Lepisosteus oculatus: one gene and its partners. The protein of the gene in region 3 interacts with the protein of the main gene of each other region in a biochemical or structural test. Links are inferred from orthologs where the notes say so. Each region holds a gene or a part of one and is shown on either strand. Other genes may lie near its edges.

The links.
Region 1: the proteins of mitogen-activated protein kinase 1-like (region 3) and tyrosine-protein phosphatase non-receptor type 7 form a complex in vitro, tested with the Homo sapiens proteins (3 studies listed by BioGRID, with this or other methods). The link is inferred for Lepisosteus oculatus from reciprocal best matches to the Homo sapiens genes MAPK3 and PTPN7.
Region 2: of the proteins of mitogen-activated protein kinase 1-like (region 3) and elk1, one has a biochemical effect on the other in vitro, tested with the Homo sapiens proteins (6 studies listed by BioGRID and IntAct, with this or other methods). The link is inferred for Lepisosteus oculatus from reciprocal best matches to the Homo sapiens genes MAPK3 and ELK1.

Annotation. Positions count from the first base shown.
Region 1 is NC_090700.1:40,442,174-40,445,918, reverse strand, and holds the start of tyrosine-protein phosphatase non-receptor type 7, read left to right. Parts: upstream 1-1,144; 5' UTR 1,145-1,313; intron 1,314-1,509; 5' UTR 1,510-1,748; intron 1,749-3,402; exon of another isoform or gene 3,403-3,745. UniProt on the Homo sapiens protein: Protein phosphatase that acts preferentially on tyrosine-phosphorylated MAPK1. Plays a role in the regulation of T and B-lymphocyte development and signal transduction.
Region 2 is NC_090697.1:76,536,981-76,540,725, forward strand, and holds the start of elk1 (ETS domain-containing protein Elk-1), read right to left. Parts: upstream 2,673-3,745; 5' UTR 2,276-2,672; coding exon 2,251-2,275; intron 2,242-2,250; exon of another isoform or gene 1,953-2,241; intron 1,724-1,952; exon of another isoform or gene 643-1,723; intron 1-642. UniProt on the Homo sapiens protein: Transcription factor that binds to purine-rich DNA sequences. Forms a ternary complex with SRF and the ETS and SRF motifs of the serum response element (SRE) on the promoter region of immediate early genes such as FOS and IER2.
Region 3 is NC_090699.1:2,585,337-2,589,081, reverse strand, and holds the start of mitogen-activated protein kinase 1-like, read right to left. Parts: upstream 2,515-3,745; 5' UTR 2,150-2,514; coding exon 1,935-2,149; intron 1-1,934.

The DNA of each region.
Region 1 (3,745 bases), on a different chromosome or scaffold from region 3:
CACTCATTTCCAGTTAATCACCATTCTTACTGGAAACCCAGCTCTGATTTTCACAGCAGCAGTAACCCCAGCAGGCTGTCTGCACGGCGTGCTCTCGGGGCCAGCACGAGCTCTTCTGGTGCACGACAAGAGAAGTGCTGATTGGGAAGGTTTGGTAAATTTCTCTCTTTTTTTCTCTTTTGCTGGGCTCTGACATTCAGTGCGGCGATCAGATAAAAGGGGAAGGTGTCCTGCACCCACGCACCCTATCACACTCCCAGTGATCTGACACCCACTCAGTCAGTTACTCACTCACACCCACTTGCTCTGTGTCACACACACACTCTGGTCAGGACTGTCTGTGAGCAACAAGTGGTGCCTTCTCCCTGGCCTCTCGCTGCCAAGCCAGCTGGGCGTGGGGAGCGCAGCCGACCGGAGATCTTGCCCCAGGTTCGAGAGAAGTCCAAGTCACCGGAGGGAATGCCCCTGCATTCCCAGGCATTGTGGCACAGCACGGACCCCAACAGCCCCAACCGTGCAAAGTGGGATGGCAAAGCTTTCACACACTTGTGCCACACTTTGGCTCTGTGTACCATAGAGCTCAGTGCACAGAGAGCTGTAGTGAAATGAGGGCGACAGAACAAAATCATCGCAAAGCAAATAAGTGACGGTGCAGACAGGGTGTGATCAAGGGAAAAGACTGGGAGGAGTGGGCTCATGTACAGGAGGTGCTGTGTGTCCTGGGCAGGCCTGTCCCCTTGTGTGCTTTCTGGTAGTCGAGCGGGCCTGTAACTGGGGGTCTCCTGCTTTTCTGGAGCACCGGTTCCACAGAGAGGCTTTAAAACAGTGCGGCACATTCTAGGGGTGGGAGAGAGTTAATTATGTTTCATTTTCCTGCTCCTAATTACTCAGTTGGAAGTGGTTTTCTTAACTGCTGGGGGGGGGCCCTGACAGTAGAGGACCCCTGCAGCTTTCAGTGCAGTTTTCTGGCTCCCTGTGTGCCCAGTGCCCCGCAGGGCCCTGGCAGGCTGCAGGCAGCCCTCAGCTGCGGGCGGGTGAGGTGGCAGCGCAGAGCCGGCTGGCAGAACGTGGGCCGGAGCGTGTGTGGGAGGCACAGGGAGGAAGCAGCTGAGAGGCGAACCAGAAGAGGCTCTCATCAGATCAGCAGCTTCCTGAACACACAGCCTGCGTTTTTTTTCAACTGCACACTCATTTCGCGCTGAGGCTCAGCTCCGGTGCCACCGAGTCGGAGCTCTCCTGGCTCGCAGCTCGCTCGCGAAGAGGATCGAGGGATGAGGGGTGCCATGGGGAGCCCCTGACTGGCCAGCCTTCAGGTGAGTGCGGAGCTGGAGCAGGACTGGCTGGTTCCCGGCGGGTCTGAGCTGTAACCCTGCTGTCTGTGGCTCAGGGCAGCTCACACAGCCCAGGTCTCCTCTGGCTTTTAGACGGGCTGCTGTATGGGGAGGGGAGAGGGGGGCTGCACGGCGCGACACTGGTTTCTGATGCGACTCTGTTTTGGCACTCCCCTAGCCCGGAGCGGACGGAGCTCCCTGCCGCTCGCGTGTGTCCTGGTGGGAAAGGGTGGATGAGAAGGAGGGTATTGAGGCCCGACCGGACCGGACCCTGGGCGCGGAGCAGGAGCAGCAGACGCAGAGCAGCTGGGGAGAAGTTGAGCAAAGAGAAAGACGCTGAAGAGGCAAACTTGGCTTTCAAGTGGCGTGGGGAAAACCACCAGGGTCTGGGACGACAGCAGGAGCTCCCGGGACAAGGTAAGGTGGAGAAGAGGTCTATTCTGAACACTGACGCTGTGCTGTGGTAGTTCATGTTTACTGTCTAGTAATTGCGATGTGACTACAGCAGTGTAAGGACTTACCAGCGAGCAATGAAAAATCAAGGTGAAAGAGGAGAGGAATCGAGGCCAGGACATTTCTCCCCTCAGGCAGCAGCTGGTGTTGCAGAAGATGCCGCATGTTTAGATGGCTCTGCAGACACACGGTCCTGGTGCAAAACTGCACGATTTTGCAGGCATTCCTCCTTTGGGAGGCAGTAAGACAAGCCCCTGCTCTTGCTGCGCCTCGGAGATGAAGACCTCTGTGCAGGAGTCGCTCCGAAGATTTACCTTGCCCAGAGGTCAGACATCACCTCAGAACTTTTTAAGTGTAATAATGAAAATGTCCTGAATGATGACATTGTTAATGCCGAAGGCAGCCCATGGAGACGGCAGGGGGTGTGGAGGGGCACAGCTCTCTGTCACTGGGACTGAGCCGATTAACCCCACCAGGGACAGTCAGGGACTGACGTTGGGGCGGCTTGTATCTGGAAGAAGTGGGGTTCAGTTCCAGCGACAGGTACCTTTCTGTATGGAGGCTGCATGGTCTTCGTATGTGTGTTTGAGGTCTACACTTACATTTCACAGTCCTTCATTAGTCAGGCACTTTTAACCCAAGCAGCTTACAGCCAATTTCTCCTGGCGTTCCTCATCTTCAGCCAAAACGTTCGGCTTGCGAACCACAGGAGAAAACTACCTGGACATGTCCAGACGATTATAACACCGCTAACATCTGTACAACGCCTCTATCATGTCCCCAGGCCAGAGCAATGGAACCTGCTGCTTTTCATTCCAGCGGAGCTCGTTACTTGGTTGAATTCTTGACTGAATTAGCAACTCGCTTGATTTGGATTGTTTGCAAGTTGCTGATCTACTTAGGAACTGGAGACCACGGTCACATATGAAATGCAATAGTTAACAAACAACTTAAAAAAGTTAAAAGACAGCTTCCAGCATGTTCCTGACGTGAAGACAACGACGAGCTCCAGTCAGTCCTGTGTTATTAGGGCTCGGGGGTGTAACTCTGAGCTCAGCTGGAACTGGACCCTGCAGGTGTGGAGCTGCCCAGGACTGGGGATGGGACTGCTGGGACAAAGCGGACAGATGAACTGAAATTCAGCCAGGGCCTCAGGATCCATACCCTCTCTCTTTCCGGTTGCCTCTGCAGGCAGGCAGGTACCTGGGTTAGAAATCATATGGCAGTTCTGGAGGGAGCCCAGCCCTGTCAGCGGTCAGGACAGAGGTCTGGGCTCACAGGCTCAGTTACAGTACAGGGCCCAGGCAGGAAAGAGCCTGTGCTTAACAGGATGTTACACTGGTGTCGCAATGTTGCCACTGACTGTACAAGAAGAGGTAGAGCTTCCATCCAAAAGCCTCAAAAGTCCAATTTCTCTGTCTCTTGCTTTCCTGCCTGCTGTGCTCGCACCTGGGCAGAACCCCTGTGCTGGTACTAGTACTGCGCTGACGATGGCACCTTTTCCCAGCTGTTCTCAAAATGGATTTTAGCAGAAAGAGAGATATAGGCACCGGCTCACACCATGCATGACATTTAACTTACAGATCTTTTATGTACCGTTTGGCTTTGCTAGGGTTTGCTTTGCATCCCTGTTTTGCGTTCTGTCGCGTGCTTTGCCTGCAGCCACGTGAGGGTCCGTTCCTGAGCGCGCCAGCCCTGCCTGTGGCTCGGGGCTCCGCACGCGGCTGGGAGAGCGAACTCTGCGCTCGGGTTTTCTCGCGGGGGTCAGAAAGCGCTCAGAAACACCGGACTCGCAAGACTGTACTAACAGCTCATGTATCAGTGCTGTTGGCACGGGGATAAATCATTTGACCTCCAAGGTTTGGAGGAATGGTTAGGATTCCGAATGTAGTCTTGTAAAAGGACTGGGCTGTTTCCATCTCCGGAGCGAGGCGCAGGTGCCGGCTCGTCCCCAGTGCAGA
Region 2 (3,745 bases), on a different chromosome or scaffold from region 3:
CAAAGAAGATGAGCACTGAGCCAGTGGGGTTTTCACCAGCAGATGCAGGGAGAGTAGAGATTTATACAGAGCAGGCAAACCAGGGTCCCCCAACCCTGCTCCAGCCTGCTGGTGTTCCTCCCAGAATATCTTTCCTTAACTGAATTAATGAGTTCAACTGTAAACATTCCCCTGAAGGGTGCCTTTGCAGAATTTTCTTTTTCTGAGATGTTTTAACTCATGGGTTTAACTTATGAACTGCAAGGAGACGCTCTTGCTCCCCAGTATGATTAGGAGCAGAGGACTACTGAAGGTGTCCGGTGGATGCAACTGTCAGGCCAATCAAGAGTCTGATGCAGTAATGCAGAGCCCATCTGCAATGAAAACAAGCAGGCCCCTCAGCACCGGGGGATGTGTAACTGGAAGACTGCGGGTTCAAATCCTGGGTGGGACACAGCTGTCGGTACTTTGAGTGGCATATTTCGCCCTGAATTGCCCCTGTAAGAGACGCAGCTGTGCTGTGGAAGTGGAACTCCTTCGGGGCTCGACGGTTCAGGCCCGTCTACGCTTCGCAAGAGGAAAAGCTTTTGTGTCAGCCTCTTGCTTGACAAGAGCAAGCCAACAGCAACAACAGCAGCAAAGACAACAAAATAATACATAGAATAAATATTACATGTTTTTATTATATAATTTGGTATTAGTTCAGGTGGGTAGCTGCGTCAGCATGCGTAGGCTGCAAAGGAACAAGTAATAGGTTTATTCCATGCTGAAAAAAAGAAGAAAGAGAACACAACTTTTCGGCCGTGGAGCCTTCTTCAGGTGTGAGAGAGACAGGGCAGTAGGCAAAGGTAAAGTAGCGGGAGAACAAAGGTTGGGAGGGAGGAGGAGTGAGAGGCGGGAGCAGGGGACAGAAAGAGAGGCCATAATGTGGTATGACTGGTATAATATGGAATTACTCAAATTATATTAACAACCAAATATTATATATCAAATATAATAAAATAATACCTACAACAGTGTTACCACATGGTGAGTGGATTTTGAAAAACACTTCTGTTGTCAGAACAATTAAAAAAAAATCAGAGCACAGCCTTTATATTTTAAACTGAAACTGAAAAAACATCTTAGCTTAGAGCAAGCTTGGGAGAGAGCGCGATGCTTTGTATCCCTCTGAGTTACCACACAATTATTTGTCATTTTGGGGAAAAGGACAGGAAGGGAAGTTCACCTTTTTCAATTCTCCAAGCAGGTTCGGGGAGATAAGCATCTTAAAGGACGTCTCCGCGGTATTAGGGTTGTAATCGGACTTGGACGCTGCATTACCGCCCTCAGCCCGTACACACGCTCGGAGACACACGGGCGCACAAAACGTCAACAAGCCGAAACTGGTCATTAGAAACCAGCGGCGGGGTTTGAACCACAGCCATGAAAATTAAGTGATTGCACACCGACCTCTCAGAGCATTGGGAAATTGTTTACTTAGGTGTGTGTTCAGGTGAATTTAGGAGGGAATTTAAAATATAGAGACATCGGAAATAATCATTATACGTTATTTATGTTCGCTTTTAGGGGAAAACGTGGTGTCTTCAGCTGCACAGGCCAGTCTCTGGACACTGCTGGCCGGGTAAATGACTTTTGACTCTCGACTGCTTCGACATCCACGAGCTCTGGAACTGTAACGCGCGCGCCGGAGGCGGGGGGCGCTAGACTGGCTGTCGATGGTCTCGTCTCCTGCGCAGTCTTTCTTTTTTAAAAAAATAAATAAAACAAAGCTTTAAAAAAAAACCGTGCAACCCACGGCATTTTGCTCCGACACTGAAAAACCGTTCTGCTAGAAAAACCGATGCGCGACTCGAGTAAAAAAAAACAAACAGTGTGACATTTGAAAGTAGCAGCTACAACTCGCATCCAAGCCCTTGACAGGGGGAAAAAAAAAGTTTTGGTGCCAGTGCGCTCCTCGAGATCTAACCTACCAGGAGAGCAGCAAGTTTCCAAAGCGGGTGTTGGCGTTTATACGCGCGTAACTCTCGTTTATCCTGCCGACGTCTGCGCGGCGATGCTTGCAAGGGAATCACGGCAACAGACCTCTCGATTAACGGCCAGGAAGGCACCCGCGCACACGCTGGGCGATGACACTCCGCCGGGACACACGCCAAGCCCGGCCGCGGCGCAGCGCGCTAGCTGGGGCGGTCGATACGGTGTAGCCAAGCCTGCAGGCGCCGCGACACCACGGCCGCCCGTCCAAGCGCGGCGCTCCGCGGGCGCACTTACCACATAGCAGGGGGTTCGAGTCCATGTCTCAGGCGGCGGGGGTCCTGACGCTCATGCTGGAGGGAGAGGAGAACACCCGGCCGGGAGAGCGACGTCCACAAGTCGGTCTGGGGGCGAGAGGGTGGCGGGTGCCAACGGGCGATCGTCCAGCCCGATCCGGGGCTCTAATTATGTAATGACAGGGCTCCGACAAAGACCCGAGCCACCCCCATATTTCACCTCCGGACTTGACTGATGTGTGTGTTTGGGTTTTTGTTTTGGACGGCTTCACAGTCCTACAAGCAGCCACGGCGCATGCTGGCCTCCCATGTCCTCCTGCCCGGTCGCCGTGACGCCGAGCGCTGGCAGGTGAGGGTCTTTGGAATCGGCGAGGCTCGGAGTAGGAGACCCCCGTCTCTCTCTCTCTCTCCCCCCAGCCCCCCCACAACACACCAACCCCAACACCACCAGCACCGCCCCCCTTCCCAGCCGCTCTCCTCCGCTGCTCGCTCGGGTCCTGCTGTCGCTCCGCGAAGCGAGGTCACAACTCCCCGCCGCCTAGGCGCAACATGTCTCCGGGTACTCCGCCTGCTGTAACGGCGCTTGCTCTCGGCAGTCCATGACACGCGTGTCGGCCGCAAGCAAGCAGCAGCGGCGCCTCCCTCCCTCTCTCTCTCTCTCCGTCTACCTCAAGCGTCTCCAGTCCTCCCGTACTGTAAACCTCCGCGGCTGCGTTCCTCGCTTCCTGTTTCACAAACGCCTCGGCTGCGCTCGCCGCCTCTCGGCGCCCCCGCCCCCCTCTGTCGCCGGCGAGCGCCTGCAGAGTGAGATGTCAGCGTCACAGAACCCGTGACGTCAGCTATTTCCAGTAAAAAAAAAAGGAGGGGGGGGGCAGCAGCCAAAGACACCGTCACCCCCGCGAGCTGCTGCTCCGTCTAGTTCGTCGATACCTTTCGCTTCGATCGCGAATCCGTTCACAAAACATTCCCGCACAGAAATGAAATGCCAATTACGCTGAACTGCAGGTCGCGGGGGTTAACGGTGTTCGCCTCGCTGAAGCGACACAACGACGACGTCAGAACCTTGGCATATGTTGTATTTTAGAAGTGAAATACGAAATGTTACGTTATATTTCACAATGTGGGGGCTGCACACTGGTGGTGGTGGTGGAGGGGGTCCCCATTACCTGTAAAGTGTCGGCAATTATTAATTACTCCAAGTGCAACCACAGACTGCAACGCTTTCTCTATAAATTGCGTGAGGTGACACGAGTCTTATGATATAAAGCCTAAAGTTCAAACAAATAAAGATGAGATAAAAATAAACGCATAAGCCTCATACATTTATAGTGTTATTAATAATAATAATAATAATAATAATTGCTTACACTTATATAGCGCTTTTCTGGACACTCCACTCAAAGCACTTTACAGGTACTGGGGATCCCCTCCACCACCACCAGTGCGCAGCCCCACCTGTATGATGCGCCAGTATCACCACACACCAGCTCTCAGTG
Region 3 (3,745 bases):
GAGGGACCCTCCTGATCGGAGAGACCACCTGTCCGTATCGGGACAGTTCCCTCTCCAGCAGCTCGTTCCTCATGAACGGAGGCACGTTGGAGAGGGTGATCTTTCGAGCCGGGGCCGCGAGAGGCAGTACCGGGGTGAAGGTGCCGTCCAGGACAACTCCCTTCTCCACCAGGGTGTTTGCCAAATCGGTAGACTGCAAGAAAATGACTATACCTCCACTCATGCGGGAAGCGGACCTGATGTTCCTGCAGCCCACGACCTCCCCGACCGCAAGAACGCACCTCTCAAGCGGACAGAACTCCGCAGGGGAGATTTTCACACCATGGCGGCGAGTTAGTTTCTCAAAGGAGAGGTCTGGAGGATCAGAGCCTCCAGAACCGGCCATGATGAGAAAATAAACCCCGCTTTTCCCCAAAAAAGACAGAAAAACACAAACCCAGTGAAGAAAACACCGCCACACGATCAAACCCACCGAAGCTCCGCCCACTCACTCACTCAGTCTCGCGAGAAACACACAGAGAGAGAGAGAGGGGTTCATACACACACACCGACTGGACACTCCAGTACATTAACACTGCACTGAGAGAGAGAGGGGTTAATACAGACACACCGACTGGACACTCCAGTACATTAACACTGCACTGAGAGAGAGAGGGGTTAGTACACTCACACTGACTGGACACTCCAGTACATTAACACTGCACTGAGAGAGAGAGGGGTTAATACACACACACTGACTGGACACTCCAGTACATTAACACTGCACTGAGAGAGAGAGAGGGGTTAATACACACACACTGACTGGACACTCCAGTACATTAACACTGCACTGAGAGAGAGAGAGGGGTTCATACACACACACTGACTGGACACTCCAGTACATTAACACTGCACTGAGAGAGAGAGAGGGGTTCATACACACACACCGACTGGACACTCCAGTACATTTACACTGCACTGAGAGAGAGGGGGGTTCATACAGACACACTGACTGGACACTCCAGTACATTAACACTGCACTGAGAGAGAGAGGGGTTTATACAGACACACTGACTGGACACTCCAGTACATTAACACTGCACTGAGAGAGAGAGGGGTTAATACAGACACACTGACTGGACACTCCAGTACATTAACACTGCACTGAGAGAGAGAGGTTAATACACACACACTGACTGGACACTCCAGTACATTAACACTGCACTGAGAGAGAGAGGTTAATACACACACACTGACTGGACACTCCAGTACATTAACACTGCACTGAGAGAGAGAGAGAGGGGTTAATACACACACACTGACTGGACACCCCAGTACATTAACACTGCACTGAGAGAGAGAGGGGTTCATACAGACACACTGACTGGACACTCCAGTACATTAACACTGCACTGAGAGAGAGAGGGGTTAATACAGACACACTGACTGGACACTCCAGTACATTAACACTGCACTGAGAGAGAGAGGGGTTAATACAGACACACTGACTGGACACTCCAGTACATTAACACTGCACTGAGAGAGAGAGGGGTTAATACACACACACTGACTGGACACTCCAGTACATTAACACTGCACTGAGAGAGAGAGGGGTTAATACACACACACTGACAGTGTGACTGTGTTGTCTGTACCAGTACCCGGCAGGTACAGGTACAGGTAGCACTACAGGCTACGCTCCGTCGGTCCGTCTCTGTCTCTTCCTCCCGGTACCCCGCACTGCCACGCCTGGTCTGCTCCGACACGCACCCCCGCAAGACACCCCTCTCCCGCTGTGGGGTGCGGTGCTCAAAGCCGGAGGCGAAACACGCGTGGGAACCTGCCCCAAGACACCCTGATCGCCACCCGCCGTGCACAACACCACACTCCCCCCCATAACCGCGATGGCAGCGCCTTTCCGGCTGCAGAAACGCGAGCGAGAAGGACGCCCTTACCAGACCATCCCGTACGCGCCCTCCCCGATGTACTGCAGGTCCGTGTAGCGGGGCCCCACGTCGAAATTCTGCCCCTTCACCGACTCCAGGCCCGGCTTGGAGCCCCCGGCCCCCGTGGAGCCGGCGGCCGGCGCGGCGGCGCCCCCGGCCCCGGCTGGGGCGCCACTCGAGCCCGAGGCTGCGGCCGCCGCTGCGGTGGCTGTCGCGTCCGCCATGACTTCCGTGTTGTTGCGAGGCCGAGGTGCGAGTGTTTACACGGCGAGTTTGTGTCACTGTGACAGGGAGGAGCTAAGAGAGGAGGAGGAGGAGGGACCGGAGTGCGGATTAAGCCCCGTTTCGCACAAGAACAGGGAGCCGGGGACGGGGGTGGGCGAGCGCGTTTCTCACTGGCGGAGGGGGAGGCGCGCAGAGAGACGAGGCCTCGCCGGCCTGAGCGCAGAGACAGGACGCCCGGCCTCCTTCTCTCTCTCTCCTCCTCCTCTTCCTCCTCCTCCTCTCCCCCCTGGCGAGATGCGCGCTGCCGCCGAGGCAGTGCGCGGCCCCGACGACGCTCGCTGGCTCTGCACGACTGCGTGTCCGTGGGAGTGAGAGTGGGAGTGGGAGTGGGCGGAGGCGTGGGCGTGGGCTCGTTGCCATCCTGGCTTGGGAACCCCGTTTCGAGAAGCACAACACCGAACAAAAAAAAAAAACACGAGTCACGTCCCGACAGGTTGAGGCAGAGATGGACGGTGAACGCCCGCTCGCCCGGGGCGTCCGGAGTCTGAGCAGAAACCGCAAAAACAGACACACACATATATATATAGTTGAAAAAAAAATCTGTGTTGTATATTTCACGGCATTGAAAGATTTGTTGTTGTTGTTGTTGTTTAAAAAAATGCACATGAAATGAAACGAAGGTGCTAATCGTGCGAAATCACGCGTGGGCGCCAGAGCTGGGCACGCGGATTCTAGCTCATTTCTGAATTTCATCAGAATGAATACATTCCTCACACTCGTGCAGCGCGTTTCTGGACACACACACGCAGAGCGCTTTACAGGTCATGGGGATCCCCCCCACCCCCCACCAGTGTGTACCCCCACCTGGGTGATGTTCCAGTATTCTCCCCACACAGCAGCTCTCAGAGTGATGAGGACAGGTCAGAGGTCATTAATAATAGCCTTATACTTATATAGCGCCTTTCTGGACGCCCCGCTGGTGGTGGGGATCCCCTCCAGCAGCAGCAGTGTGGAGCCCCACCAGTGCGCTCACACACAGCAGCTCTCAGGGCGAGGAGGACAGGTCAGAGGTCATTAATAATAGCCTTATACTTATATAGCGCCTTTCTGGACGCCCCGCTGGTGGTGGGGATCCCCTCCAGCAGCAGCAGTGTGGAGCCCCACCAGTGCGCTCACACACAGCAGCTCTCAGGGCGAGGAGGACAGGTCCGAGGTCATTAGGGGTTACTAGGAGGCCAGGACTGGTCAAGACCAGGGGGACACCGGGGTAACACCCCGACTCTTTTATAGAGACACCCCGGGATTGTTCATGAGCACAGAGAGTCAGGACCCCGGTTTCACGTCTCATCTGAAGGACGGCGCCTTCTTCCAGTCCAGTGTCCCCGTCAGTGTCCAGCCCTACTCTTTTATAGCTCACCATCACTGGACTGGGGCATCAGGACCACACAGAGCGCAGGGAGAGAGCGCCCCCTGCTGGCCCCACTCACCCCTCTCCCAGGAGTCTCCCCTCCAGGTACTGGCCAGGCTCCCCCTGCTGGGCTCCAGTGGGGCTGCCAGGTGTGCCACTCACAATGAGAGAGAGGGGGGTTAATACA